4 linked regions of the Notamacropus eugenii genome follow. The protein of the gene in region 4 interacts with the protein of the main gene of each other region in a pairwise test. Links are inferred from orthologs where the notes say so. Each region holds a gene or a part of one and is shown on either strand. Other genes may lie near its edges. The genes, in order: USP2, DDX6, TSTD2 and VPS52.

The links.
Region 1: the proteins of VPS52 (region 4) and USP2 interact in binary tests that used the Homo sapiens proteins (3 or more experiments, as listed by UniProt). The two-hybrid records come from large-scale screens. The link is inferred for Notamacropus eugenii from reciprocal best matches to the Homo sapiens genes VPS52 and USP2.
Region 2: the proteins of VPS52 (region 4) and DDX6 interact in binary tests that used the Homo sapiens proteins (3 or more experiments, as listed by UniProt). The two-hybrid records come from large-scale screens. The link is inferred for Notamacropus eugenii from reciprocal best matches to the Homo sapiens genes VPS52 and DDX6.
Region 3: the proteins of VPS52 (region 4) and TSTD2 interact in binary tests that used the Homo sapiens proteins (3 or more experiments, as listed by UniProt). The two-hybrid records come from large-scale screens. The link is inferred for Notamacropus eugenii from reciprocal best matches to the Homo sapiens genes VPS52 and TSTD2.

What each region holds. Positions count from the first base shown.
Region 1 is NC_092876.1:279,333,984-279,341,830, forward strand, and holds the start of USP2 (ubiquitin carboxyl-terminal hydrolase 2), read left to right. Parts: upstream 1-4,839; 5' UTR 4,840-5,052; intron 5,053-5,910; exon of another isoform or gene 5,911-6,104; intron 6,105-7,847. UniProt on the Homo sapiens protein: Hydrolase that deubiquitinates polyubiquitinated target proteins such as MDM2, MDM4 and CCND1. Isoform 1 and isoform 4 possess both ubiquitin-specific peptidase and isopeptidase activities.
Region 2 is NC_092876.1:280,062,925-280,070,700, reverse strand, and holds the start of DDX6 (probable ATP-dependent RNA helicase DDX6), read right to left. Parts: upstream 3,018-7,776; 5' UTR 2,910-3,017; intron 2,761-2,909; exon of another isoform or gene 2,507-2,760; intron 2,073-2,506; exon of another isoform or gene 1,989-2,072; intron 1,817-1,988; exon of another isoform or gene 1,695-1,816; intron 1-1,694.
Region 3 is NC_092874.1:314,403,491-314,410,550, reverse strand, and holds the start of TSTD2 (thiosulfate sulfurtransferase/rhodanese-like domain-containing protein 2), read right to left. Parts: upstream 3,009-7,060; 5' UTR 2,864-3,008; coding exon 2,849-2,863; exon of another isoform or gene 2,833-2,848; intron 1,934-2,832; exon of another isoform or gene 1,857-1,933; intron 1-1,856. Other genes in the region: NCBP1 (nuclear cap-binding protein subunit 1), read left to right, coding at 3,893-3,926.
Region 4 is NC_092873.1:89,290,939-89,298,429, reverse strand, and holds the start of VPS52 (vacuolar protein sorting-associated protein 52 homolog), read left to right. Parts: upstream 1-4,489; 5' UTR 4,490-4,560; coding exon 4,561-4,626; intron 4,627-4,930; coding exon 4,931-5,015; intron 5,016-5,199; coding exon 5,200-5,252; intron 5,253-5,445; coding exon 5,446-5,521; intron 5,522-5,712; coding exon 5,713-5,780; intron 5,781-7,491. Other genes in the region: RPS18 (small ribosomal subunit protein uS13), read right to left, coding at 3,448-3,546, 4,071-4,073. UniProt on the Homo sapiens protein: Acts as a component of the GARP complex that is involved in retrograde transport from early and late endosomes to the trans-Golgi network (TGN).

The sequences.
Region 1 (7,847 bases), on a different chromosome or scaffold from region 4:
AGTTACTTAATACAAAGTCCAAATAGATGGACTTCAACCTTTTTTTAAGACAAACTCCTAAAGTAGGTTACATTACAGAAGATGAACTACAGCTTTATACAAACAAAACAATATTTTCCTTCAGTATAAAACAGAAAATAAATAAATTCCCCTTGTAAATAAGCCTTATATAAATTCTTAAGTACTCCTTAATCATTAGTGTTATATACCCGAATTATGTACCAGATGTCCTAATTAGGTCTTTCTCAGATACATACATCTCCCAAGACTAAATTATTTTACACTAAAATTGTTTATTAAAAATATTTATTTCAAAGTTTATATTCCTTCTCATAGGACACAATATTCTTACTACTTAATATATGTGGAAAGGAATATTAATGAGTGCCCAACAAGTTGGTATCAACTTTACTGTCTGTCCAAGATTTTTGTTTGTAATCAGTTTAAGTCTGCGTATAAAACTTACAAAATTATGTACTTGACATTAAATGCCAACTTTTTAAAAATAAATAAAAGAGAAATAAATCCAGTATCTCTGCAAGGAAACCTCAAATGGGGGTCATGAAGAGTAGGCCATGACTCAACAACAACACAGCTAAGGATAGGAGATATAGTCTTAACCAAACAAGAGTTAGAGGCAATTACAAAAGATAAAACAGACAAGTTTGATTACCTGAAACTGAAAAACTCTGTTCAGACAGCATTAATGCATCTCAATAAGAAGGGAAGTGATCAGTAGGGAAAACTTTGTATCAAATTTCTCTGATAAAGGTTTGTATCCAAAACATATAAAATATTATCTACACGTACAATACATACATATATACATATATGTATATATGTATATATATACATATATGTGTGAATGACTAATAGCTTGTTCCCAAATAGATAAATGGTCAGAGGATATGAACAAATTTCAAAAGAACCACCAAGTATTCACAACCATATGAAAAAGTATATCAGATCACTAATAGAGAAATGCACATCAAAATAACCATGAGGTTTCACTTCAAAACAAATTTACCAATTTGCAAAAAATGACTTTTTTAACAATGTCAATAGTCAGTGTTGGAGACCTTATGGAAAGGCAGGCATGCTAATATTTTATTGGTGGAGCTGTGAAATGGTACAACCATTTTGGAAAGAAAGTTGGAATCATGCAAACAAAGTGACTAAAATGTCCATACCCTTGGAACCAGAGACTCCATTACATGGTTTATATCATAAATAAGTTATCAACAAGAAAAAAAGTCCCTATATGTGCCAAAATATTTATGGCAACATTTTTTTTTGTAATAACTAAGAATTGGAAACAAAGTAGATGCCCATCAACTGGAGAATGGCTAAACAAATTGTGGTTCATGAATGTAATGAAATACATGTAGTTGTTCTTCAGTTGTTTTAGTTGTATCCAACTCTTCATGACCCCATTTTGGACAAAGATACTGGAGTGGTTTGCCATTTTCTTCTCCAATTCATTTTACCCATAAGGAAACAGGGGCAGCCAGGGTTGAGTGACTTGCCCAGGGTCATAGTAAGTGTCTGAGGCCATATTTGAACTCATGAAGACTCTTCCTGACTTCAGGCCCAGCATTCTATCCACTGAGCCACCTAGTTGCACATAATAGAATACTATGGTGCTGTGAGAAATGATATGTGTGTGAGGAATACAGAGAAGCATGGAAAGATCTATATGAACTGATCCAGAGTGAAGTAAGCAGAGCCAAGAAAACCACAAACACATTAACTACAATAATGTAAATGGAAAGAATAAAATCAAAAGTAAAAATGAACAAAATTATGAAGTCCAAATAGAACTTGAATGAAAAGATATGAGAAAATAGTCCCAAACCATCCACAGGTGTTACAAACTGCATTATTTTTAAGACTTTTTCAAGTACCAATCAACTGTGCTGAGTTTTACCCCTCTCTCTAAAAAATACTATTAACAAGTATGCTGAGTTTTTCCCCTCTCTCTAAAATATACCATTAATTATATAAAATAGCTCATAGGGAAGGGAAGGGGAGGAATACGTGGAATTCTGTGGTGATTGAAAAAAATAAAATAAGAATAAAAATTTATTTTAAAAATATTTTTTAAGAAGATCGGAACTCTAACTCTGTTTCCTTTCATTATACCATGTGGCCCCAACCCTGAATCAGAATTAATTTTTCCTCCCTCCTACCAAGAGATATGCTTGTAAAAGTTTAACAACTATCACGCCAGGAAAAAAAAAATGTACATACAATACACTTTTAAATTTAATCTACATTAACATTTTCTTTATCACTTCTTTACTATAAAATTAATAAAACAATAAATCAAGCCTTAATTTGTAGGGTTTGCTGCTTTTCGAGGTGTAAATGCTCACATTGAAAATTTAATAATCTGTTCTCTAGAGCTGGTGGGAGATGACTCCAGCACACCCCTGCCTCCCATCCAGAAGTTCCCATTTTGTATTCTCTAATAATAGCTGTCATTCAAAGATCAATTGAAAAAATTAAATATTTAGTATGGAAATGGCAAGACTTAAAACAGGAATGATCACTAGTTTCAATTATTTAAAAGGCTGTCATAGGGAAAGAGAAAGTATACTAACTGCAGAGGGTAGAACTTACAGATATGTGTGGAAATTATAGAGAGACAAATTTGAGCCCACCTTTTTTTGGGAAGAAGCTTCCAACAATTAGAGCAGACCAAGCATAGATAACATGGCTCAAGATAGTGAACTCCCTGGCATTTGAAGTATTCAAGAAAAACCAGAGAGGTCAATTACCTCTCCCACATTCCTTACAGGGAATTCCTATGGTTGGTCTGGAAATTGAAATGATGACCTAGAATTTAAGATTCTAGTCCATGAGTCAAGGATTTATTAAGTGTGTCCAGCACTGTGCTAAGAATTCTAGGATTCTATCTACCCTGGGTGACTTGTAACTTAATCCACTCAGTTCTCCAATGCTGTCCTAGTTGATACATCAGCCAGTAGGGAAGCACATGGTCCATTTTACCTGTTGAGACTTATAACCCAAATCATTCTTCACATTCCGTTGGATTTTTTCTCCCATCCACCGCTCTTCTTGCAACGAATCCTACAATACCACTGCATATAGAACTATACTCCCTCCTACTTCTTGTTTTGGGATCAATAATCAAATCTGCACTCTCCAACCATCTCATGGACCCATAACTAGCTTGAGATACAACTTCTATCCTGGTGGGGGGAGGGATTAAAGGGAGGGAGGTCAAAGGTCCTAATTAATAGCTCTACCATTTTTTCTAGAAATCCCCAACTGTATTTCACTTCATTCCTTACTGTCTAGACAGTTTCTCCATAACTTCCCCAACTGCCTAGCTGCCTCATACCATTTTTCCTTCTCACTCTCTCCAGTGCTGAAAGCACAAATCATGATTAAATCAGTTCTATCATTTGTTCCTGCAAGAGTATATGGCCCCATTCAAGATGCCTGTAATTAAAATGTTCCTCCCTGCCCACCACTCTGCTGTATATTTGCTCTCGCCTTTTAGAATGTAAGCCTGGCATTTTGCAGGAGACATCTGGTCCATCCCAGCCTGCCTACTCAATGATCCTTTAAACTGTCCTTTTACAGTGACTCTCCAACCCAGATTTTATCTGCACCTGGCCCACCCCAGGCATTCACCACTCCTTAATTGATCCATATCTTCTCACTGTCTTTTCTCATATACAAGTAACAATCTTACCCTCACTACTACATTGCTCAGACTCACTTAGAATCTAGCTGGCTTCTATTGGCCTCACAAATAAACCTTGCTACTTAGAATGAAAGAAGGATTGAGTGGTCAAATTCTTTCAAGGCAGACCCCCTGAATCCTTCATTTCCAGGTTCCCAGCAAGCCAAACCACATCATAATGTGTCAAGGCAAGCCAATTGATTCTTCTATTGGTTCCACATTCCTATGTCCTCTCAAACTAAAAAATCCTTCCTGGAACACCATTAACATATTTGCTATCCCCCCTAATTAGAATATAAGCTCCTGGAGGACAGAGACTGTCTTACTTTGCATTTTGTTCCCAAAACGCTAACACCAAGCAAGCCCATAATGATTCTTTCATTCAAAGCCGTTAGAAAATGCTGAATGAATGATGAAAACATAAATATCCAAATTCCTGGTTTCTGCCCCAGTCTTTTCCCATACAACTCCTGTTAACTGAGCTCCTCTCACAGACTCCCTGCCTCATTTTTCTGAGCACTCTCAAATGAACCCATTTCTATTACCCCGGTGGGGAGCAGTTTGGAGCCTTTCAGAAGCGAGAAGTGGAGGGCCGAGCTGAAGGGGAATGAGAGATCTTCCGACTGAGTGGAAAGTAACAGCGAAGGTTGTTGGGAGGCTGATGTATTTATTGCTAATGAGATGAATGACCTGAATCCATTCCAGGAAGCTTAGAGCTAGTCGGGTGGATGCTGATTGGACCACTGAACGCGAGGTTGGTTGCTGTAGCAATCTGCACCCGGGAGAATATTGGTCAAAAACTCAGATTTCACGGTTGCTCCCCCCCAAATAATTTGCAGAACGGGAGGGTTGGACTACATGGTCTTTAAGTTCATTTCTGACTCTAAATCATAACTCCTATGGATCCTCTTGCTCCTACACCTTTGCAACACTCTCTTCCTTTTCCTCCAGTCTCCACCCCCTTTCGCCCCGCGTGCTTCTCTTCCACGTGGCTCTGTTTACATCAGTTGCCTGGGAAACTCAGGCTGGGAGGAGCTCCATCAAGTCACAATAGTAAAGAGCCAATGGGTGCTCCACGTCTCAGTGACGCAAGGACGCACAGGGCGTGGCTAGGCCGTCCTGGAATGCCGTATGGCGATTCCCCGCTGGGTGGCGCTGTTCTCCCGGGGAGGTCTTCATTGGGGCCCCTGGCGGAGGTGGGGAGAGGCGGGCAGGAGCCGGGGCCAAGGAGCCCTCTGCGTCAGCTGTTGCTCACTGCGCCGCGCCAGTGTCAGGCGGGACTTACCCGCAGCTCCATGCCTGTTTTCGGCTTGGCACATCCACCCTTAGAGAACCAGGTAGGTGCCACCTGTTCGGGATTGGGGCAGAGGGAGGATAAGGAGCGACCTCCGCTGGGGCAATGCCCGGGGTGCCCCCGGAGCCAGAGCGGACCCCGGGGACGTGGGGGTGGGCACCCTGCGGGGCCAGGGCTCAGGCTCGGACACTCGTGGGGGGAGTGTCCGCCGTGCCAAGGCCGGCTCCTGCTCTGGGTACCAGCCCGGAGTACTGCTGCTTTGCCGTGCCCGGAACCAGGCTGCCCTGGGTGGCGTGTGCCTGGGTATATTTCGGAGGAGCGGGACGTGTGGTGTGTTGTAGCCTATTGTGACAAGAAGGTTGTGTGCCGCTCATTTACTGCCCCCCTGGAGGGTTTTCTGGGGGGGAGGGGGAGGGGAGGAGGAGGCGAGAGAAGAGAGGAGAGAGAGAAGAGACAGACAGACAGACGAGCTAGTGTGGTCTGACTGTCAGCCGGGGGAAGGCAGCAGTTCAGTAGTGGAGGAGAACTGCTGCCAATCTCAGACCGGAGGAGGTATCTTTATAACCGCCCCCTCCCCCCCCATCATCTAAAGCAGCAACTTAAACTTTACGTTAATAGTTATTCACGTTTTTATAGTGCTTTAAGGTTTGTGCTTTCCCATATTACTCTTCCCCACCTCGAATAGGACTGAGCATCCCCACTTCCACCTTGCTTTAGGTTTAAGGATGAGAGAGCTGGATCTCACTGGTACAGAGCTGAGACTGAGGATGGGGAGAAAAACTAGGAAACGACCCATTGCCTAGATTATACTGAGGCTTACAGAGTTGTGGGAGACCAAGGAAAGCTTGGAGAGGGATCAGGTGATTGGAAGTGCTGAAACTCAGCCCCTTTGATGCTGTAGACTCATGCCCCCTTGGGGTCAGGGAATGAGGACTGGAATGAGGACCTGAGTGCATCATCAGGACCCAGTGCTGAGTCAGTGGCATCAACTGGGACAGGGTGGAGACAGGTGCCTTGAGACACCTACACAAAGGTGGGCTACGACAAGGACTGTGAAACTCTTGGAGAGCAAGATGAAAAAAAAGGCCTAGAAAGGTGAGAAATGCCATTTTTTCCCCTCTATATCTAGTATAAAGGCAGAGCCCTATGAAATGGATCCATCAAGAGTAGGACTCAGTTGGGTATTTGCCTAGGCACCAGTGGGACCTTGTACTTTTCTCACTTTTTTAAGCCTAAAGGAAACAGCAGTGGTCTGAAACGCCTGGACAAACACTTGATGTCTCCTTGACTAAGGCATCCTGGGAATTTGTTCAGCCTACTTTGTATACCACAATGGTGGTGGGACCAATCCTGCCCTGGTTATGAGAGCCAAGGGATTTATACGTAGACATATAAAAGAAAGCTTTGGAGTTGCTTTTTAACTTTAGAAGCAAGCATGGCACTTAGGGTTGACAGACAGGACTCTTTTTTTTTTCTACCTAGAAACATGTAACCTCCAGATAATTTCAGTCCTATGCTTCCTTTCACCCCAAGCTACAACCAGTGCACTCTGCCACCTTTTCTCTTTCCCTTTCTTTTCATTGAATCCCTTTTTGTGCTGCTTCTTACTGTATCCTTCCCTGAGTTCTTTTAAAGTCACCCTTCTGTCTAGTACCTACTCATTAGGGACAGTACCCTCCCCCACCTTAGGTGGGCATAACACTGCCCCTTTAAGTCTCTCTGGATCCTGGAATGTGAGTGAATTGCTGTAGCCATCCCTCTGAGGTCAGATAAGATACTATATATATCAGAGCCAGTAACCTGAGCTCCGGATTACCCAGCCTGGAGTCGGGCTTCACTCCTCCACCTTCCACTCCATCCCATGCCCCGCTGGGGAAGGAGAGGCCCCCAGAGTCCCGATCAATCCTTTTCCCCTGGACACAGGTCAGTGACTGCCCCCACTATGCATCTAAACATACATAGGTGCTGCTGCCTGGTGCCTGCCCTTCTAGTAGGTCTGGGGGAGTTGGGGCAGGGAGGGGGTGGTGGGTATAGATGACAGATGATTATCTTATCTATCCAGCCAGGTCTAGTGCTGTGAACCAGGCCAAGACCTTAGGAGATGGAGAGCAAAGGAGATACAAGATCTGGCCAAGGAATGGAAAGAACCGGCTACGCAATAGACTTAGGGGACCTCTTCCTAAGGGTTTTCCATATTGCCTAAAATGTCCAGAACACTATTGTATGTTCATGGTAGTAGTGAAGCAAGTTTGGGAGCATTGAGGCAATGATTTGGGAGCACTAGCACCATTTTTGCTTTCTCTGGAAAATATAAAGATATGCTTCCCAACTAAGACACTACCGTGGACCCACATATGTACCTTCTTTTTCAATTATTCATTGTTAAAGCTTTAATCTGATCTCTGGGTCCTACTTCCTTACCTTCCCCACCAGGCTCCTAAGAAACTTGTAGGAAACATTAAGGGGGTTTCATTTTTCTGACTGATTGCCACCACCCCTAAAGGAGTCAGAGTTTGTTAATCATATGAGGGATAATGTGCTCACCCCTGATAGATATGCTTGCTAAAAGAAGGCTGAGAACAGGCTCAGGTTAGGGGAGGAGGTCTGAGAATAAACAGAGCCCTTGACCAATGAAAATATCAACTATACCATCCCCCCTCTCCTCTCTACCTGTGCTCCTTTTTCTGTCAGAACACCCCCAGATCTGATCTGCCTTGGACTGGCACTCATGCCTTAGTGCTTTCCTGCTTTCCCCAAAGAGATGAGCACAGTAGTTTGGGCCCCTTTCTTGCCCCCCACCCCACCTACCTTCCATAGAAGGCACTTTAGTCTGACCAC
Region 2 (7,776 bases), on a different chromosome or scaffold from region 4:
AATTTAAACTGTAGGCTTCTGCTTGGAAACTGGCCAGAGGACTTAAAGGCTACCTGAATCGTTTAAATTTTAATTCGAGCAAGCTCTGCATTCTAAAAGTGCCGTGTCCAAGTTCACACCGCACACAGCGCAGCAAACAAAAAGCGCGCAAGGAAGGGCCCGACTTCCTTTCTACAAAAACACCAGACGGTGGTTCTGCGAAATACTACGCGTGCCAGCCTTGAAAACGTCGGGAAAAAGAAGCCGGACTGTTCACCCAGACCACGCTGCCTTCCCCCACTAAGATGAGCCATGCGCCCTTTTAGAAAACTCGGTAAGCCACGCTCGGTCCGCCAACAAACACCGAGGCTCATGCAGACAAAAGCAGCGTGTAAGAAAACCAAGACGACTTGGACGGAAACTTCTCAGGAAGACGTTCCCTGACTCTAAAACTCATCTCCTGAAGAAAAGGCTGGGTGGCCTTTACCGAACACCGGTCTGCTCCTAAGAAGGCCAGAATTCTGCTAAAACAAACCCTCCCGCGGCCCTGCGGACGGCCGCTCACTTCGGAGGCTTCCTGTTGTGACAGGTTTACACTGCGAGCATCAACACCGCCAGCACCCTCACCCGAGGAGCCTGGGAGGATGACTGAACGCCAGCGAAGCGCCGGGCATGACAAGGGCGCCCGGTCCGGCTCGGTAACGCCGCCGTTCCGCTCCCGCTCGCCCAGCCGGCCGATGGGGACCCCACTTCTAACGGGGAGAGAAGCTGCACGGCCGCTTCACAAGAGCAATAACATCCCCCCCTTCTCCTCAGCAGACCAAGTTCCGTCTCCAAGTTCCATGGCTGCATGTTCAGAAATTACACCGGAGCGCAGAGAGGAAGGCTGAGTTAGCGGCAGCGCTTCCTGCACGAGCTCGCCAATGACAGCTCCGCACCCCAAAACTCCTCGGCCCCGCCGGCTTTTGTTGCCACGGCGGCGCAGCTTCCCTTTAGGGTTAGCCCAGGAGGAGCCTTGGGGTGGGGGCTTTCATTCTGAGGGAGGTGGGTCTGGAAGGACGGAGAAGAGAACGAAGCGGGGGACAAGTCGAAGGGAGAAGTGCACGACGACTTCGGGGGACACCCCCGCCCGTGCGCCGCTCATTTCTCGGTTATTTTCCATCCCGAGCCGCTTCCTTCGGCCTTAAAAACAAAGAGGCTGGGGCCCTGCAATGGGATCTGCGCAACGCTGGCGGAGCAGCCGCGGCCCCGCCAGCTCAGCCAGCGGGAAACAATGGGGATTCCCCCTCCCCCTCGGGGCCCGAAGACTCACCCCCTTCCCCCTCAACCTACGGAGGGCATTCCAGCACCCCGACTGTCCACGCGCGGGGGGAGGGTGGAGAGGGGACTGTCCACGGGGAGCCGCAGTATGCCCCCCCCGCCGCCCCAGTAGGGGGACGCCACGTCCCCCGGCCCTGCGGCCCCCACATCCCCCAGTCCCTATAAAGCTGTCACTGGCGCGGGCCCGCTCCTCGCCCTGTTCGGTTCCCGGTCCCAGGCCCCCCTCGGCCCTCGCCTTCGGATTCTACCCCTCGCAGCCCCCGCCGCTTCCTAGGCTGCCCCCGAGGCCCCGACCGGGCCTCGGGCCTCCGCCCCGGAGCGCCCCCTCCCCTGACAGGCCCGGCCCGCTTCCCGCAGCCCCCGCGCCTCGGCAGCGGCCGAGCTCGGCGCCTCACCCCACTGGCCGCGGCTGGGGCCTGTGTCACGGCGCCGAGGCCGCCGCCGCCAGGGTCCCCGGCTCCTTTATTGTTGACTCGAAGCTCCCAAGATGGCGGCGGTTCCTTCCTCCCCGAAACCCTCCGCCCGCCCGCCCCCCGGCCCAGCCCTCCCCGGCCCGGCCGGGCCGGCCCAGTCCAGCCCCAGGGCCACCGGAGCCCCCTCAGCAGCTTCCCCTCGGGCCTCCACGCCGCGCTCCGCCCCGGCGCGCCCGCCAGCCAGCCCGCCCGGCGTCCCGGCTGCGCCCGGCCTACCTCCGCCGCTCCCCGCTCTCATGGCGCCGCCGAAGCCGCCGACCGGGCCGAGCCAACTCCGCCGCCGCGCCCCCTCCCTCGCTGCCGCCCTCCCTCTTTCCCTGCCTCCCCGCATGGCGGCGGCCGCGGCTCCTCCTCCCCTCAAGATGGCGAGAGCTCGGGCCGAGCCCCGGGCCGGGGCCGCCTCCTGCGCCGCCGCCGCCGCCCCCGCCGCCGCCCCATCTACCGGGGGCCCGAGTCTTCGCTGAGGAGAAAACGGGGGGCAAGCGCCCCCACCTCGGCAGGGCCGGGGGGTCGGGCCGGCGGCAGCGACAGCAGGGGCTCCGGGACGTGGGGCTGCCGGGCGGGCACGGCGGGCTCGGGGCCCCTCTCTGAGGGGCGTCAGGGGGGATGGGGCGCGCCCTCAAAAAGGGGCCCAGAGGCAGGCAGGGCGGGGGCGCGAGGGCCCGCCCGGCCCCCTCCCCAGGCGGGGGGCGCGGGCTAGGGGCTCGGGGCTGAGAATTGGGGCGACCACCGACCTGATGCTTCCCGGTGGCGGGGCCGCCTGCTTGTGGCCGGAGGGAGGCACCCCCGCTCCTGGGCGGCCGAGCTGCTGCCCTCCCTGCTTCCAGCGCGGAGGTGCCCGCTCCCCATCCCCCACCCGCGCACCCCGGGGCGGCTGAGCGGCCTGTGAGGCGGGCGGGCGAAGCGAGGGGGCGCGTCCTGCGGGCAGGACGGGGAGCCTCGGCGGCGGGGCGGGCGAGCGTCCGGCGGGTAGTGCCAGGAAAAAAAATCTCGCCTTCCGGTGGTGCCCGCCGCCAGGATAAGAGTAAACAAGAGAAGCTCCCCCGTAACCCTCCCAGCCCCCAGACGGGGAGACTGAGCTCGCTGCTCGGCGCCCCTCTTTCGGGGGACCCCCGTCTGAGGGGGAAAGAGTCTAACCTCGGTAGTGCCGAGCTGGGATTCGAACCGGGGTCTTCCGGGAGCCCCGGCGGCAATGATACCTAATGTACACATGCCTCTCTCCAGGCAGGTAGCTCTGCTGCCAGGCATTGTGAGCGCTGACGGGACGAAGGAGGGGGGTCGGTGCCCTCTGTGAGAACAAGGAGGTGAGTTTGTGGCAGGACCCCCATGGCTTCGGCTCACCTTTGCAGCGGGGCAGCATGGAGAGCCTGTCCAAACCTTTTCTTCAATTATTTATTTCAATGAGGAAAAATCTATTTCCCCCCCAACCACCTCCCCACCTCCCATGGGATGATCCATAATAAGTTAGTAAGTTTTACAGCTGGGAGGGGATTTAGAGGCGGTCCAAATCTTTCTTTTTTTAAAAAATTAATTTTTCTCAATTAAAAAAATAGTATTCCCCTCCCCCCTCACAACCCTACCCGCCACTGTGAGGGGGAGAGGAAAGAAGGAAAACCCTGGTAACCAGCATAATGAAGGAAAACAAATTGTCCAGTAAATCATGTTTCGTTCTACATACTCTCCTTCATCTCTCTAACTCCGTTAGATTGTGAAGTCCTTGGAAGGAGAAACAGTCTTTTGTCTTTCCTTGTATCTCCAGGGCTTGGTCGGGTGCTTAGTAGGCGCTTAATAAATGCTTATTGTCTGTTGTGGCCATCCCCAAAGAAAGAGATTCATGTAGGTCTCTATCCAGTGACCTCAACTCCTCTTCATGTTTCATGGAAAAATGGAGAACAGGCTTTGGTTGCAATGTTCAGAGGTGAAAATGAGGGTCTAGAAAGTCAAGAAAACAAAGCTTTAACCTTGGGTTTCAGCAGAAGGAGAGGGAGGATACGAAGGTTGAAAAAGGTATGTTGACAATGAATGTAATTCTTCTTCAGCTCTCCCATTCAGATTTAGTATTTCATTTTTAATATATTTTTATCAGTCTTTTGTTTTTATCTCACCTAGATTTCGCTCCTGTATCTCAACACTCTTCCTCCCAGATAGAGATCCCTTATAACAAAGATTTTTTAAGAGGAAAAAATTCAGCAAAATTACCCAATAAGTGGGAAAAATATTTGATATTTTATGCAATCTTCCAAACACAAGGGGCCCCCATTAGTACAAAGGAATAGAAGGAGATGTTTTCTCATCTTTTTTCTTTGAGTCAAGCTTGTTTTAAAATTTTTCAGCATTTATTTTCAATTATTTTGTGGTTATTCATTTATTAATATTGTTGTAGTCATGGTATATGTGATCTTCCTGGTCTTCACTTTGTATCAGTTTGTGGATATCTTTCTGTGCTTCTCCGTCTTCATCCTACTTCTCATCTCTTAGAGCAGAGTATTTCCATTACATTTATGTACCACAGTTTGTTTAGTCATCCACCAATCTATCTATGGCAGGTTTTAATAGAACCTCAATACCCCAGAGGCAGCAGTTCTTTAGCCCCTTATCTAGACAGCTCAGCCAACTTAGAACTCAGCTGTGGACCATTTGTAGGCCTCCTTTAGTTCTTATCTGTTCCTGGGTGCAAAGTTAGTTGCTAGTAGACCTTGCTAGATTCTTAGGTGGTTTTCGTCTAGTGCCAAGAAAGATTACTTACAAAGATAGTATATCTTGGTCCAGGGGGCGTCTTTGCATTAGTCAATGGTCAAAGTATAAAAACATTGTGTTTGGAAAGGTGTGCCATCTTGCCTTTTTCACTAGAGGATTTTAAAATTCTTTTCTCTCATTCAACTGGTATTTTTTTCCTTTCTATTTATTTATGTTCATTTATTTTTAGTTTTAAACATTCATTTCCACAAAATTTTGAGTTCCAAATTTTCTCCCCATCTTTCTCCTCTACCCACCCCAAAATGCCATGCATTCTGATTACCTGCTCCCTCAATATTCCCTCCCTTCTGTCACACCTCTCCCTTCCTTTATGCTCATCTTCTCTCTTTTCTTGTAGGGCAAGACAGATTTCTGTACCCCATTACAAGCATTTCTTATTTCCCAGTTGTATGCAAAAACAGTTCTCAACATTTATTCCTAAAACTTTGAGCTCCAACTTCTCTCCCTTCCTCCCTCCCCACTCATCCCCACTGAGAAGGCAAGCAATTCAATATAGATTACATATGTGTAGTTTTGCAAATGACTTCCATAATAGTCATGTTGTGTAATATTAACTATATTTCCCCTATCCTTTCCTGTGCCCCATTTATTCTATTCTCTCTTTTGATGTTGTCCTTCCCCTAAAGTGATTACTTCTAATTACTCCCTCCTCCCATTTGCCCTCCCTTCTATCATCTCCCCACCCCACTTATCCCCTTCTCCCCTACTTTCCTGTAATATAAGATAGATTTGCATACCAAATTGAGTGAGTGTGTTATTCCTTCCTTAAGCCAAATAGGATGAGAGTAAGCTTCATTTTTCTCTCTCACCTCCTCCTTTTTCTCCATTGAAAAAGCTTTTTCTTGCCTTTTTTGTGAGAGATAATTTGCCCCATTCCATTTCTCCCTTTCTCCTCGCAACATATACCTCTCACCCCTTTATTTTTTTTGGTTTCATCCCTTCTTATTCAACTCACCCTGTGCTGTGTGTGTGTGTGTGTGTGTGTGTGTGTGTGTGTGTGTGTGTACTCCCTGCAACTATCCAAATACTGAGAAAAATTTCAAGAGTTGCAAATATTATCTTTCCATGTAGGAATGTAAACAGTTCAACTTTAGAAAGTCCCTTATGATTGCTCTTTCCTGTTTACCTTTTCATGCTTCTCTTGATTCTTGTGTTTGAAAGTCAGATTTTCTCTTCAGTTCTGGTCTTTTCATCAATAATGCTTGGAAGTCCTCTGTTTCTTTGAAAGACCATTTTTTCCCTTGAAGTATTATACTCAGTTTTGCTGGGTAGGTGATTCTTGGTCTTAATCCTAGTTCCTTTGACTTCTGGAATATCATATTCCAAGCCCTTTGATCCCTTAATGTAGAAGCTGCTAGATCTTGTGTTATCCTGATTGTATTTATACAATACTCAAATTGTTTCTTTCTAGCTTCTTGCAATATTTTCTCCTTGACCTGGGAACTCTGGAATTTGGCTACCATATTCCTAGGAGTTTTTCTTTTCAGATCTCTTTCAGAAGGTGATTGGTGGATTCTTTCAATATTTATTTTGCCCTCTGGTTCTAGAATATCAACAATTTTTATTGATAATTTCATGAAAGATGATATCTAGGTTCTTCTTTTGGTCATGCCTTTCAGGTAGTCCCATAATTTTTGAATTGTCTCTCCTAGATCTATTTTCCAGGTCAGTTGTTTTTCCAGTGAGATTTTTCACATTATCTTCTATTTTTTCATTCTTTTGGTTTTGTTTTGTAATTTCTTGGTTTCTCATAAAGTCATTAGCTTCCATCTTCTCCATTCTAATTTTTAAAGAACTATTTCCTTTAGTGAACTTTTGAACCTCCTTTTCCATTTGGCTAATTCTGCTTTTTAAAGCATTCTTCTCCTCATTGGCTTTTTGGACCTCTTTTACCAATTGAGTTAGCCTATTTTTAAAGGTGTTATTTTCTTCAGCATTTTTTTGGGTCTCCTTTAGCAAGGTGTTGACTTGCTTTTCATGATTTTCTTGCACTGCTCTCATTTCTCTTCCCAATTTTTCCTCCATCTTTCTTACTTGATTTTCAAAATTCTGTTTGAGCTCTTCCATGGCCTGAGACCATTGCATATTTATTTTGGCTGTTTTGGATGCAGAAACCTTGACTTCTAGGTCTTCCTCTGATGGTATGCATTGTTCTTCCTCATCCGAAAGGAAGGAAGAAAATACCTGTTCAACAAGAAAGTAGCTTTCTATAGTCGTATTCTTTTTCCCCTTTTTTAGTCATTTTCCCAGCCAGTTACTTGACTTTTGAGTCTTTTGTCAAGAGGAAGGTATACTCTGGGGACCTATAAGTTCTCACTTTCTCCAAAGTAGCACAATCAAGGGAGGAATTTTACTCCTGTCCTGGCCTGTGCTCTGGTCTGGGAGCAACCACAAGTACTCTGTTCTATCCAGGATCTTCAGCAGGGTTCCCTCTCCAGAGCCACCCCCACCTCCATTGCCAGCACTCTTCTGCAACCCAGGAGAGCCACTCAGGGCTTAGATCCACATTAGCCACTCAATTCCCTCAGGGTCTTTAAGCAGATAGCTCTAAAATGGATGCTGTTGCTGCAGTGGCTGCTGCTGGCAGGTCCAGACCATGTTCCCTTTTCACTCAGGTGAAAGAGCTTTCTCACTGACCTTTGAAGCTGTCTTTGGCGTTAGTGGATTGAGCAGTCTGGGAACTGCTGCTTCCAGTGGTGCCCTGAAGCCTGTAGCAGTCCTGTCCTATGCTGGGCTGCAATCTGCTGCACTCCCTGTGCAATAGACCTTTCCTCTCGGCCTTCCAGACTGTCTTGGGCTGGAAATCTCTTTCACTCTGTCATTTTGTGGCTTCTGCTGCTCTAGAATTTGTTTAGAGTCATTTTTTACAAGTATTTTATGGGCTATGTGGGGGAGCTTCTACAGGTCCGTCTTTCTACTCTGCCATCTTGTCAACAAGTATTTTTAAAGTTCTTTTATATCTTTTGATTTTACTTTACCTTCATTTCCCAATGTATCCCTCTCCCTTCCCCTGCCTTTCTTAAGGGAACAATCACTTATAATAACTAATAAAAAAGAAATAGGAAAGGGCAGGAGAGAAATCTGTTGAGTAAAGTTAATGAAATGGAATATTATCGTACCATGAAATATGAAAACGAAGAATACAGAGAAGCATATGAAGACTTATTATGCAGACTAATACATAGTAAACAAAACCAGGAAGCAATATTCACTATAACTGCAAAACTATAAATGGGAAGAAGAACAA
Region 3 (7,060 bases), on a different chromosome or scaffold from region 4:
GCTGGGTAGGTGATTCTTGGCTTCAGTCCTAGTTCCTTTGACTTCTGGAATATCCTATTCCATTCCCTTCTATCCCTCAATGTAGAGGGTGCCAGATCTTGTGCTATCCTGATTGTATTTCCACAATACTTGAATTGTTTCTTTCTAGCTGCTTGCAATATTTTCTCTTTCACCTGGGAATTCTGGAGTTTGGCCACAATGCTCCTAGGAGTTTCTCTTTTTGGATCTCTTTCATGCGGTGTTCTGCGGATTCCTTGAATATTTATTTTGCCTTCTGGTTCTAGAATCTCAGGGCAGTTTTCCTTGATAATTTCATGGAAGATGATGTCTAGGCTCTTCTTTTGATCATGGTTTTCAGGTAGTCCCAGAATTTTTACATTGTCTCTCCTGATTCTATTTTCCAGGTCAGTTGTTTTTCCAATAAGATATTTCACATTATCTTCCATTTTTCGAATCTGCGCGGTATGTTCTGAGATATCTGTCTTTCTCGAAAAGTCCTTAGCGTCCATCCGTACCATTCCAGTTTTGAAAGATCTATTTTCTTCAGTGAGCTTTTGAATCTCCTTTTCCATTTGGTTAATTCTGCTTTTGAAAGCATTCTTCTCCTCGTTGGCCCTTTGCACCTCCCTTGCCAGCTGAGTTAGGCTAGTTCTCAAGGTGCCAATTTCTTCAAGATTTTTTTGGTTCTCCTTTAGCAGGCAGCTGATCTGCTTTTCATGCTTCTCCCTCATCCCTCTCATTTCCCTTCCCAGTCTTTCCTCCACCTCTCTAACTTGATTTTCAAAATTCCTCTTGAGCTCTTCCATGGCCCGAGCCCATTGGGTGGGCTGGGACACAGAATCCTTGATTTCTGTGTCTTTGCCTGATGGCAAGCATTGTTCCTCCCCATCAGAAAGGAAGGGAGGAAGTGTCTTTTCTCTGATAAAGTACCCTTCAATAGTTTTATTTCTTTTCCCTTTTCTTGGCATTTTCTCCAACCAGTGGCCTGACCTCTGAATGTTCTCCTCACACCCACCTTGCCTCCTGGTCCTCCCAGCCAGCGTTTGGGGACTGAGATTCAAATGCTGCTTCCCGCCTTAGGATTTTTGGCGGGGGCAGGGCTGCTATTCAGTGTGAGAATTAAGTTCAGGTGGTCAGGGGCAGGGCCGCCTCTCAGGCATAGTTCCCTCTGGGGGTTTATGCACAGACCTTCCACAATGGATCCAGGCTCCTGCCCATTTGGGGAGCCCCCGTCCGCAGCTGCCTCTCAGCCCCCACCTCCCGGGGGGGGGGCCGAGCCTTGGGGGCACCCCACTCCCCTCTCAACCCGCCAACGAGACTCTCTCACCCACCCCCTTCAGTCACCTGTTGGTGGGGGGGGGCCCGTGCCGCCGCTGAAGATCCCGCCTCTGGAGCCCTCTCAGATCTGTGCGTCTTGGAGCCGTGGCCGCCGATGCCGCCGCCGCAGGTCCGGGCTGGGCTCTGCATCTGCAGTGCAACGGACCTTTTGCGAGAGGTTTGCAGGTCCCTCTGTGGGGACCCGCGTGGCCGCTGGAGATCCCATCCCCGTAGCCCTCTCGGATCTCCTCCCCTCAGTGTCGTGGCCGCGGCAGGGCCATACTCTGGTCCTCGTCCCAGAGCCCAGTCCGCGGCGTGAAGGACCCCCCCCGCGAGAGGTCCGCAGGTCTCTCCGGAGCAGGAATCTCCCTCGCTCCAATACTCTGTGGTCTCTGGGTGCAGAATTCGCCCTGGCTTGGTCCCCTCTAGCCATTCTGTGGTTTGTGTGTTCGGAGCTATGTGTATGTGCGTCTTTCTACTTCGCCATCTTGGCTCCGCCCCCTATATTATTTCTTTTACAGAAAAAAAAATCTACTTACATAAAGACACGTATTTATACACACACTGAAAGGAAGTTACTCCTCATCACTATCCTGTTTTGGAGAAGCGAGCACCTGGGCCTCAGGATGTCGATGAGCTTCTCAGGGCTTAGAATCATGCCCTCCTGTCAGCCTGTTCACACACTCTTATTCTATGGGCAGCACTGGGTTCAGCTAGGAGGCTAGGAAACCTCCCTAATTCATAGACTCCACCGCCTGTGGTTCCGTTGAATCGTTCACCACCAGCTCTTAGTCCATTCTTCGTTCTTCGCTCGGCTGACCCGGGCTAAAGCCAGATGGGTCACAGACTCTGGTGGGCGAGGGAAAGGGGAGAATCACGGACTCTAAAAGGGGGAAGGGTCCTCTACGCTAGCTGGCAAGTGAAAGGGTAACTTAACGAATCCAGAAGGAGAGCCAAGGCACAAAAACCACCTCTCCTCCAAGCCTGGCAGAGGCAGCGCAGGACCCTGGGCCTGAGGACCTCTGGCACAGCTGGCATGTACCACCTCCAGCTGGTGTTAGTTTGGCTTCTAGGCCAGTCCACCATCACAAGGGGGGGAGCGGACCGGACAGCTGCCTCTGTGGGTGCTGCCACCCTGCCTCTTCTGAAGACCCAGAAAAGAAGGTGCATGCCACCCACAGGCCTTGGCATCTTTACTTCAAACACAGAAGCTCGGTGACACAGGGGGGATGCAGGCCTTACACTGAAGCTGAAGTCTGACAGCAGGAAGGGCAGACAGACTGCCGGACACACAGGTCTGGAGGCCGTCACACCAAGAGGGCTGGCCACTCAGCAGGACAGCTCGGCCATGGCCCCCCGGGGCTTCTCCAGCGGGTGAGTGACCTGCTCTGGCCCGGCGCTCCAGCCTCTGAGCCACTACCTGCAGCCTTCCCCCCCTCCAGACTGCCAGAGAGTGCCAGCAGAGGGCCCTCGGGCTGCCAGTGTCTTCTCTTCACCCCGGTGTTCCAGGCTCACCGTCCTGTGCACACACCGTGTGACTTTCCATTCCTCTTTTGTTCACACTCGTTTTCAGTTCTTCAGAGTTGCCTCAGTTTCCCCCTCCGTAAAACAGAACTGAACAACCCCCACCTTAGAGAGGAAGGCCTTAACGAGGCCTGCCGGTCTCCAGGCCGGCCATCAACGTCAGTTATGGCTCTCAGGGGTAGGACTGCCGGCCCACCCCCCCGGGGGCCCCCGTGCCACGCGCACTGACCCGGGGGGAGGGGAGGGGTCCGAAGCGTCAACAGAACACCCGGGAGGTCGCAGGAAGTACCTACCTGGCCGGCTCCCGTCTTTGGGGGGCTTCCACCCGCGGGCCCGTCTATCCTAGCAACCACCGGAACACGCAGTCCCCCGAGAGCCCTTCGCGGGCACGTTTCTCCTCCCGACCGGTACTTTACAGACGGCCCCTCAGCCCAGACGTCGCCTACGTCCGGCAGGCGCAAGGGCAGTCGGGAGAACCATCGAGTGGCACAGAAGGCCCAGAGCGTCACCACCTCGGCTCCGCGCGGCCTAGCGTCTGGCCGAGACTCCTTCCTCCTCCCTTCCCCCCGCCCTTTCCCTAAGACGCGCGCCTGCCCAGCCGGGACCGACGCTCTAGGAACTGGCTCTCCCCGCTCCCTGTTCTCCCGGAAGAAGATTAAGCGCGAGGAGCGGGAGGAGGGGAGGGGAGAGAGAAGGCGGCGGAAGTTCGCTCCGCGGCCTTGTTGGGCCGCTCCCTTGGGCTCTCCCGCTTCAGGCTCCCTCACACGCGACGCCTCCCGCCCGGCCTCCCGAGACCCTGACGGGACGTCCTCGGGACGGTGGAGACGGGAGGTGCCCTCTTTCCCCTCCCCCAGCCTCCACGCCCGCCTCGCTCGCGCGAGCTCTAGCGTGCGTGTGCGTCAGCGCCGCAGGCCGGCCCGCAGCTCCCCGCGCCGCCTCGCCACCCCCTCCCCTCGCCGCTTCCGCCCTTTCCCGCTGCCGTGAAGCGAAAGGCGCGGGTTTCCCGCGATCTCCGGCGGCCGCGGAGGCGGAGGGGCGCGCGGCGGGCAGGATGTCGCGGCGGCGGCACAGCGACGAGAACGACGGTAAGTGAGCGGGCGGCGGCGGCCCGGGCCGGGCGGGCGGCCGGGAGGTCGGGCCGGGCGCGGGGCTGCGGAGCCGGCCCGCTCCCGGGATCCCGCTGCAGGCCTCTGGTCCGGGAGCCCCGGCTTCCAGCGCGGCCTCCGCCGCTCCCAGCCGTGACGTAGGGCCGCTGGGGCCTCAGTGTCCCCGTCTGTAAGTGGGCGTGATAACTTAGGATGTACTCAGCATTGTTGTGAAGATCAAGGGCGAATATACGTAAAGCCTTTGTAAGTAGTAAAGTCTTGTGCTAACGTTAGCCATTATTGATAAACGCAGATCTATCCGAGACCCCCCGGGGTTCACGCCCCGTCACCTCCCAGCACTGGCTGCCCGAGCCAGGACCTCGGTCCGCATCAGGAGATGGAGCAGGAGGGGCCTGTTTGACTTTCACCCACGTCTTGTTCTTATTTCGAGCATTAACCAAAAAATATGAAACTGGCATCACTCATTAGATGAAGGTTCTTCACCTTCTCGTGCGCGTCGTGGGCTCCTTCGGGGCCTGTGGACCTTTTTTCAGATAACGTCTTTGAGTGCATGAAGGAGGATTTCCGAGGAAACCAGTGATCTGAAAATGTGGTTATCGAAGGATTTAAAAGGACAACAGCATTACTGACTGGCTTTAAGAGCCCCTGCTGTGGACAGAGCTGTCTGTCTTCAGGGGCGTTCTCTTGTGGACACTTAGAAAGGATGGGCAACAGGTTCACCGTGTGACACCTATCATAGCTGCGCTCTTTAAACAGAATTCTGTAACTTTATTGGTAGTCTCTAGAGGGAAAGGACAAGACCCTGAGTGATTCTTCAGAGCAGGATTCCAAATTCATGTTCAGGGAAATACATATTATGGAGACTTGTTGAAGCTGCAGTAACATAACTAGGCAGGTATCAGAAGTTTCTCATAAAAATGTAAAAATCTCAGAAAATGTTCTATGTGACTGTAACAACAGTAATAGTATTAATCTAACAACTAAGATTTATTTTAAAATATGCATTTTGAAATGCAATATGATTCTGGAAGGGACTAGTGTTTTACATTTCATTTGTTTTGGTTCAGGTGAAAGAGCTAATAGCTTCGGATCCAGACAACCTGGGTTAAATCTGCTGCTTAATACCTTTGTCACATTTGGCAGTTCATCTTACTATGTAAAGTTAGGTGGCTGTGCCTGTGAATCTGAATATTTATTAAGGGTTGTTTCTTACCACACCTCCAGGATAAAGATCTGGTCTCAGAGTCTGGGAAGACCTGAGTTCAAATCCTGTGTGTGACTGGTATTGGTTTTGTGACTCTGGGTAAGTTGTGCCAGGCAACCTTCTAAGACTTTTAAAGTAGCTGAAATAATTACCTGTTAGTTTTGGTTCAAGGAGAGAATTTTTGCTATTGGAATCTCCCTGCAGGGATGAAATCTTAGATCTGGATTTGATTGGTGCTAACTGTTGTGCTAGATGCCTAGAAGTAGAAAGATGAAGTATGATCATCTGATCTCCAACAGTTTAAAATCTTTTTTGCCATACCTTTCCTCTGTAGTGCTCTGAAATAAATATGTGATTGTTCTCTTTATCAGAGAGGTTGACAATGAACTTAGGTAACATTTTTTATTCATTTGAACTAGAGATCTTGTCAGAATGAGCAAATTTAGAGGTGATCTGCAAATCTGTATTTTGCTAAAGTCCATCTCCTTGGATTTTCAAAAGTTGTGTCAGTGGATGCCAGGCTTTATCGTACCCTGTCAAACTGGAAAGATTTTGAATGTAGTCCCAGAGATGAGGACAAGCATAGGTAAATGAGGAGTCACTCAGGTTGAGCACTCCAATGATGATTTTTCTGGCTACAATTGATTGAAACTGTCTGCTAAGTATATTTATCCACTGAAGTATATTTCATGTCTTTTACAAGTAATTAAATACACTAAATATGTGGTTTTTAAAAAATATGTAACATGCACAGTAATTAAATTACATTGGCATAAGAGTAATCCCTATTTTTGTCTCTGGAGGGAACTTTAGTTTTTTACACCTTTTTCAAGTTGATACTTTTCACTACCACTTTTTTTTAAAAAAAGGAGATTCCCACAGAGATGTGAACATGAAAAAAATATGTCTTAAATGGAAATATACAACTATAAACCTATCATCACTTAACATAGCAAATATATATTGTAAATCATTCTCATTTTAATTTAAAAAAAACATTTCAAGTGCCTACTAAGTGTAGGAAACTGCCCTTAACTGGGGATACATGGTTGAAAAATGACATAGCCCCTGTCTTAAATGAACTTTTTCTGCTGGAGGAAAAGATATTGTTTATATAGATACAGATAATACAAGGTAGAGCATAATAGGAATAAAGGAAAGATGAATTCAAAATACTCTAGGAAAAATTGAGGAGGAACAGAACAGTTTCATCTGGGGGGATCAGGGAACTCTTCATGAAGAGGGTGATACCTCAGTTGATTCTTAAAGAGAGAGATTGTCCCACTTTTGCCTTTGCATGCACTGTGTCTCAGATAGATATAGATTGGGATTAAGGGACAGGCTGTCATAAGCAGAATGAAAAAAGTTCGGGAAATGTGGGGAGAGATGAATGACTGAAGTTCATAGAAAAAAACAGAAACATATTTAGAAAATACTTGGCTCATACTCCTAATTTCTGCCTAATTAATACTAAATAGATTTCATCCACCTTGAGTTAAATGTTTTTTGACTTTATAGCTTAACTTTATGAAGACTAGAGACTAGAGTCCATTCAGTTAGTGTGAGGGAGAGCATAATTTGAAAAAGATGATTAGTTTTGTTAAAGCCTTACACAATCAAAGGCATCTTTCTCTTCTCTTGAAACTTTTGTTTTCCAATTTTCTCATAAATTTTTATTTATATCTTAGTAAATCTTGACTCATGATGAAGTTTTTAAGAATCGTTGCAAGATGTATTTAGTAGGATTCTTCCATAGACAACCTTTACATTGTAACACTGTTTATTATACAAGTTACAGCTTTGGGAGCTACCACAACTTCCCTAGTGTTCTTAAAATGTATCATCTCTACCATTGCTCTTAAGATAGTTTATTGATACTTCTTTCTGCCTCAACTTGTAAGGCCAAGGT
Region 4 (7,491 bases):
GGTCACAGAGTTAAGTGTCTAAGGCTAGGTTTGAACCCATGAAAATGAATCTTCCTAACTGCAAGCTCAGCACTCTATCCATTGTGAGTGACACTTAGTTACCCCATTTTTATAGCCTTTCAAGTACTTTAAAGCTATGACCCTTATTTCCTCTCAGTCATCTTCCCAAGGCAAAATACACTGATCTCCTTCAACAGCAAACTCAGGATATCCAATTTCTGAATCCTCACCACTTGAATGGTTTTTTTCTCTACCCATTCCAGTTTACTGGCTTAGTTGCAGACTGTACCTTCCCCCAATCAAACTTGTATAAACCCTAAACACTACCTATAATTGCTGTTTTTCATATGTAACTCCTCCAATCTCATTTTAATGTGAAATGTCTATATACTGTAAAGCAGAGGTGTCACATACTAGGCCTTTAACACCATCTCCCTGCAGCCAGAATGCCCCAAATGAAAATGTAGTTGGAAAATGTTTTTCTAATTCATTATGTGGTCCCCAGGGAACATTCTGTATGTTTTAGTAGATCCTTGTTTCTTTCTGGAGTTGACACTACTGCTATAAATGAGTAGCTAGGTGGCAGAAGTAGGATCTGGAGTCAGGAAGACTTGAATTCAAACCCACTTACACTAGCTGGTTAAGTCAGGTAACCTTATTTGTCTGTCTCATCAACTGTAAAATGAGCTGGAAAGGAAATGGCAAACAATTCCAGCATCCTGGCCAAGAAAACCCCGAAAGGGGTCATGGAGGAGTCAGACACAATTGAAAAACAACTAACTGCTATAGAACACACTATGCCCTCATGGTCCAAAGCTGTTTTGTAAAAAAGCTCATACCTAAGTCACGTCTCCAGACTCCCACTATTCACATCCAATCCTTTTTCTTGCCTCTTCTATGAGAGATAATTTGCCCCATTCCATTTCTCCCTTTCTCCTCCCAATCTATTCCTCTCTCATCCCTTAGTTTTTTTTTTTAGATATGATCCCTTCCTATTCAACTCACCCTGTGCTCTGTGTGTATATAGTCCCTCCAACTACCAAGATACTGAGAAAAGTTTCAAGAGTTACAAATATTATCTTTCCATGTAGGAATATAAACAGTTCAGCTTTAGTAAGTCCCTTGTGATTTCTCTTTATCACATCTAATCCAAAGGTCTTCCATCTTAACACCTCCAGTCAGCCCATTATGCTTTTGGCTAGTTCTAATATGTAGTTTTTTTCTTATATCAAACCTAAAAGCATTTATTACTTTTAGTTCTGATTTCTTTTCTATGACAGTTAAAAAAACTTGAAGAAAACTGCTTTGGCAAGCCCTCTTCCCATTTTGGTACAGTGAGAACGTCCTGGCTCCAGAGTCTCAGGAAATGAATTTAAAATCTACTTCTACTTCTGATGCATGACTATTTATCTGACCATGGCAAGTCACAACTTCTCTGAGTCACATTTTCCTTATTTGTAAAATAAGGGGTTCAGACTAGACTAGTTCAGTGTCTTAATCTTTTTTGTGTCATGGACACTCCCTTTCACTTTTGGCAGTGTGGTAAAACCTATAAACCTCCTGTCAGAATATCTTTAAATATGCATAAAACAAATTCATAAAGGAAACTACATATTAGAAGTTAATTAAAATAGTACAACTACAGTAATTTCAAAGTAGTGGATAAGCCAAAATGACATACTGAGTTATCTATAAATACCATGGTTTGTTGCCTAATTTTACAACGGAAGGAAATGTTAAAACTACTGTTAAGAGGTTAGTGAAAATAACACCCCCTCCATCACTAAGAACTCTTGGACTAACTGACCTAAGGTCCCTGCCCACACTAGATTTGAACCTCTGAAAAACCTTTTCCAGCCCCAACATGTTCAGTTTAGTCAACATCAAGTGTCTACTATTTATCTGACTAGCTGGGAAAGAGGAAGGAGACCAGGTGCCATCCTGAAGTGTGCATCTACTGCAAGATGTTCTCCATAAATATACAATAATTGGGGGAGCACAGTCCAAGGTTAAGGAACAACCTATATAAAGGCAGAAAAGGTAATGCAAACCTGAGGAACATGTAGTCAAGTTATCACTATCCTTTAAATTATGTGAAAGGAGGGATCCAGATTTTGAAAGGCTGAGGCTCTTGACTTCCTTGAAGTACCAGTCATATACCTATCTTCCACAGGAAATCTTTCCATTCCTCTCAATTCTACTATCTTCCTTCTGTTGCTAATTTCCACTTTATCCTAGACATAGCTTGTTTGTAGACTTCTCCAGAAGGTGGTCTTTCCCATTATGTGTGGATGGAGATTGTCTTTTACCTTTCTTTGTACCCCCAGCACTTAGTGCGCTTCCTGAAACATAACAGGAACTTAATAAATGTTTACTAACCTCCCCCTCAATTCCCTCAGCCCTATTCTCTTGACTGCCTGCCCCAGTCTAAAATTGACCACCCCTCCCCCTCTTGTTTACTTTTTGCTTCTCATATACTGCCTTAATTTGAAGGCCTTCCTAAACAGAAACAGGGAAGTTTGGATTTGGGGAAGAATGGGATTTCTGCCTAGGACATGTGGAGAACAAGAAGCTTGACTCTCTGGTTTCACCCCAACTTAGGGCTTTTTTAGTAGAACAATGATTGCTGCTTCTATTTTTTGTCTTATCCTTCACCCAAGGTCTAGTTTCAAACCCTGCCTCTGCCGAGTACAAAAAAAAGCACAGCTGGAACACTTATCACTTACTAATTACGTTCAACAAGCGTGTATACAAAAAATTATACTTGGAATTTCAGGAGAAAGATCACTGTAGCCCTGAAGGGAAAAGCCTAGTAAAATAGGCCACATGACGAAATGCCCGAAGAAAAAAATCCAAGCTAGATGGTTAAAATAATCAGTAGTTTAGGCTACTTATACACTCTTGCACTTTTCTAAGCAAACGTCTCCTATTTGTCTTCCCAACTGCGTCTCAAGCTTTAGTGAAGGCTGGAACTGACACAGACTATACTGTTAGAGTTGGAAACGACTTCAAATATCACTCATCAACCCCTTCATTGTACAGATGCGGAAACCTAGACTTAAGACAACTTTCCTAACCTGTCCACAGCATAAGGGCACCTGAACCCAGCACTTCTCACACCATACCAGTCTGCCGTGCCTAGCACCGCGCTAGTACCACATGCTACAAGTACACAGATTCACAGACTTTAAGAGGGCAAGTAAGGAGGGGTGAAGCACAAGTCCAACTCCTAAAAGAACGAGTGTTTACACCGATACGTACCACTCGGTGTACAACAACCACTTTTGCGTTTCTTACGTCTTACTTCATCAAGTAGCACCCTTATCGTTTATGGGGAAGGCTGCTCCTTTTGCCCCAACCTTGGAGAAGATTCTTCTTCAATGTCTCTCAACAGTCCCTTTCTCGCCCGACCTTCCCGATCCACACGTCCGTGACTCTGGCCCTTACCTTGATGGCTGTGATGGCAAAAGCTATTTTCCGCCGTCCGTCAATGTTGGTGTTGAGCACTCTCAAAATGTGCTGGAACTTCTCGGGGATTACAAGAGACTAGGGATCGAGACAGCAGGGAGGAACAACGCGGTGAACACCAGTCAGTCCCGGTGCGCCCCGCGCCCCGAGTCACCCGTTCAGTTACAGTGGCAGACCCTTCCCTCTGCCCCTTAAACACACACACGGGGGCAGGTCGCCCACCCTCAGGCGCAGGGAACCCAGGGGGACGCTCATGCCTGGGCATGACGCTGGAAGCTCCCCAGGAAGGCGAAAAGCCACGGTAAAGGCGGCGAGACTCCCGGCCTTCGCCAGGGGGCCAGCCCCGCCGAGAGCTAGGGGAGCCCGGGCGACACCCGCCTCCCCCAGCGCCATTCTCCGTCCCTCCTATCCAAGCACCCAGGAGCCGGTTCCACGCCGGAGACCCTGCGCCCTGACCCAACCGCGCGGGCCTGCCCAGCAATCTCGCCGGCAAACCGCAGCCCTCTGGGCCGGGTCGCCCTCGGAGGGTCCCCGGTTCGGTCCGCAAACCCCCGACCCCGATGTCGCCGGATCCCTAGACCCGGGTGGGGAGCCAGTCTTACCATGGCTGCAACGGCGGCGTGAGAGCCTTCTCTGGAAGAGGAAACGGAAGTTACGTATTCGCCTTATATAGTGGCCCGCGAAGGCGGGGAGGAGGGGGAAGGGCGAAAGAGAGAAGGGAAGGCTTCGAAAAGGCCAGGCACTTCCTGATCTGACTCGTTTGCATGGACGTCACTTCCGGGCGGGGGCGTTCCGAAGGCTAATTCTTATGGCGTTGTTTCCGTTGTGCTCCTTTAAGTCCCGTCCGTTCTGGAAACGAAGGCTCGCCGAAGACACGGTCCCGAGCAGGCAGTGTGCGCACGCCGGTCTCCAGTAGAGAGGACTCCGGCAAACGAGCTCGGGGATTGGCGGGATGATTTTCACGCGCACGCCTTTGGGCCACGGCGTCATTCCTGCGCCTCTCTTGCGTGTACCCCACCCGCGGCGTAGACCGACCTGTTCCGACAGCCACCTGACGGAAGTGGCCGAGGGGGCGGGGCAGCGGCGGCAGGAATGGCAGCCCCGGAGCTGATGCAGCCGGCCGGCGCCTCGGACATGGACGAGGACGAGAATGCCCTGGTGAGGGGCCCGCGTCTGCGCTCCCCCCGCGAGGCTGGGAGTGCGGGGTGGGGGTGGGGCGGGGCTTGTGCGGCTGCGCGGAGCCCGGGAGGTGAGGAGCCCGGGCTGTCACTCACCTCCCGGAGCCCCAGGTCCGAGCGCGGGGCCGCCGCCGCCGCCTCAGTATGGGAAGCGTGTGCTGTCGTACCCGTCAGCCTCGCATACAGGCATTTTTTCCACAAAGGGTGGGCTTTGGTGGGGGAGATGTCCCCCATCCCCCACGTCGTTCCATCCCCAGCTCGTCTACTAACTGCTCTGTCTCCAGGGGAGCGGCCCCGGGCTCCAGGAGCCACTGCAGCTGGGAGAGCTGGATATCACGTCTGAGGAGTTCATCCTGGATGAAGTGGATGGTGAGGGATGATTAGATGCTAGGAACCGGGGCGGGCGGACCGGGACCGACCCTGGATTTTGAGTTTCCAAAGTGAGGACGGGCTGGAAGTTGCGGCGGGGCAGATGCCTGAGTTCTTGCAGGGAGGGCTCCTGGGAGGGAAAGAACTGTATGCCTGGATCCTCATGACTTCTCTCTGGGTCTAGTTCACATTCAGGCAAATCTAGAAGATGATTTGGTAAAGGAGGCTCTTAAAACGGTGAGACTCCCTACAACATCCTCTGTCCCTTGTCCTCTGTTTTTCCATTTCACACTCAGTAATGTTTCCCAAAGACTTCCATACCGAAATCCCCTGATATTTTTCTCTCATCGTAATCCCTGCCTACACCCTGCAGAGCATTAAGCTCAGTGATTTCTTTCCACTAAAATTGTCTTATTTCTGGTTCTCCCAGGGTGTGGATCTCCGTCATTATTCAAAGCAGGTGGAACTGGAGCTACAGCAGATAGAACAGAAATCTATCCGAGATTGTATCCTCATGGGAAAAAGATGGGAGTTTCTGTCACTGACTTGAGGGGTGAGGTGGAAGGTATGGCCAGAATTGTCTCCTCTCATCCCAGATGTGACACATGAGAAGGTGGGTGGTTGGCATGTGAGGGTTCTTCAAAGATTTGGGGGTCTCTGTCCTTTCTGTGAATTCTCTTAACTGCCCATGGCTCAGATATCCAAGAAAGTGAGAACATTGCATCACTACATAACCAGATCACAGCCTGTGATGCTGTCCTTGAGGTTAGTAAACCAATTTTTCATGTGATTCCCAATATTCTATGCAATCTCAATTGGCAGAGAAACACTGATAACCATTTCTAAGGTCCATGACACAACGAATGAACCAGGATTTAGTGCCTATAATATGCTAAGAACTCTGCTAAACTCTTTAATACAAAGACAAACATGGATTAGTCCCTGCCTTCAAGGAGCTTACACTTAGTGAGAGGACAGGGATAGATACAGCATTTACATACAGAACATAAGTTACTTTAGGGAGGTTTGCACTAGTAACTGGAGGGATCAGAAAAGGCTTCATGTAGAAAGTAGCACTTGAACTGAGTTTTGAAGGAAACCAGAAGTGAGGAGGGTAGGCATTCCAGGTATGGAGGAAGAGACGACACACAGTTGGGAGATCGGATGTCTTGTGTGAAGACTAGCAATCAGACTAGTATGCTTGGAACCTGGAATTCGTGGAGGGGAGTATTATATACTAAGGCTGGAAAGGTAAGAAGGGACCAGGTTGCAAAGAGTTTTAAATGCTAGATAGAGAAGTTTACATTTGTTCTTGGAGGTAATAGGGATGGAGCCATTGGAGCCTATTAAATAAACAAATATAGCTTAAAAAATACATTTATCATACATTTTATTATTTATTTTTGAAGTTTTTATTCTACATTTTATTTTTTATATTTTGTATAAATATACTTACATACAAAAATATGTAAATATAAATAAATAAATAGAAATTTACTAGGTGGTTTACCAGTTGCCTTGTTCCTATACCCTAAGGACTATGGGTTTTTTCATCTAACTTGCAGCTGGAATCTCTTACATATGTTATATCTTTCTATTAGAATACATGGAGTAAGGATTGTCTTGCTTTTCTATTTTTTTATCTCCATTGCTTTGCATGTATAAGTGCTTAGGAAGTCCTTTTTCACTCATTGTGCTTTAGGAAAGTTACTTTGGGGGCTATATAGAAAATGGTTTGTATTGGGGAAGAGAGCTGAGTTGAGTCAGGGAGACTAAATAGGAGGCAGTGGCAATAGTATAGACAAGAGGAGATGAGGGCTTGAACTAATGTGACGGCTGTAGTAGGGGAAAGGGCTTGATCTGAGAGATACTAGGGAGATAGAAACTGGAAGATCTGGAAACCAATTAAATATGTAGGGTGAGGGAGAATGAGCAGTCATGCTCAATGAAATGATGGTGACTGGGAGGTACCTTTGATCATAAAAGTAAAGTTTGAAAGAGCGGTGAGCTTGGAGGAAAAGATGAGTTCTGTTTTGCATATGTTGAGTTCCATATGCCTGAAGGATATTCAATTAGATATGTCTAGTAGACAGTTTGTGATGAAGGACTGGTGCTCAGGAGAGAGGCCAGACAGGGATGAATATATAGAGATGGTAACTGAACTCATGGGAGTGCATTTGGTTATTAATAGACAGACCTGGGAGAGAAGAGGGCCCAGGACAAATCCTTGGGGTATACAGACAAAAGAAATGACATGAATGATGATCTAGTAAAGAAGAAGTCAAGTAGGTAGGTGGAGAGTGAAAAGAGGGAGTCACAAAAACCAAGAAGGGAGAGAATGTTTAGAAGGACAGGGTGGTCATGTCAAGTAATAGCAATTGTGATAGAGAGGCAAATAGGATAAAGACTGAGAAGATGCCATTAGATTTGGCAAGTAATAGATCACTGGTGACTTTAGGGAGCAGCTTCAGTCCTC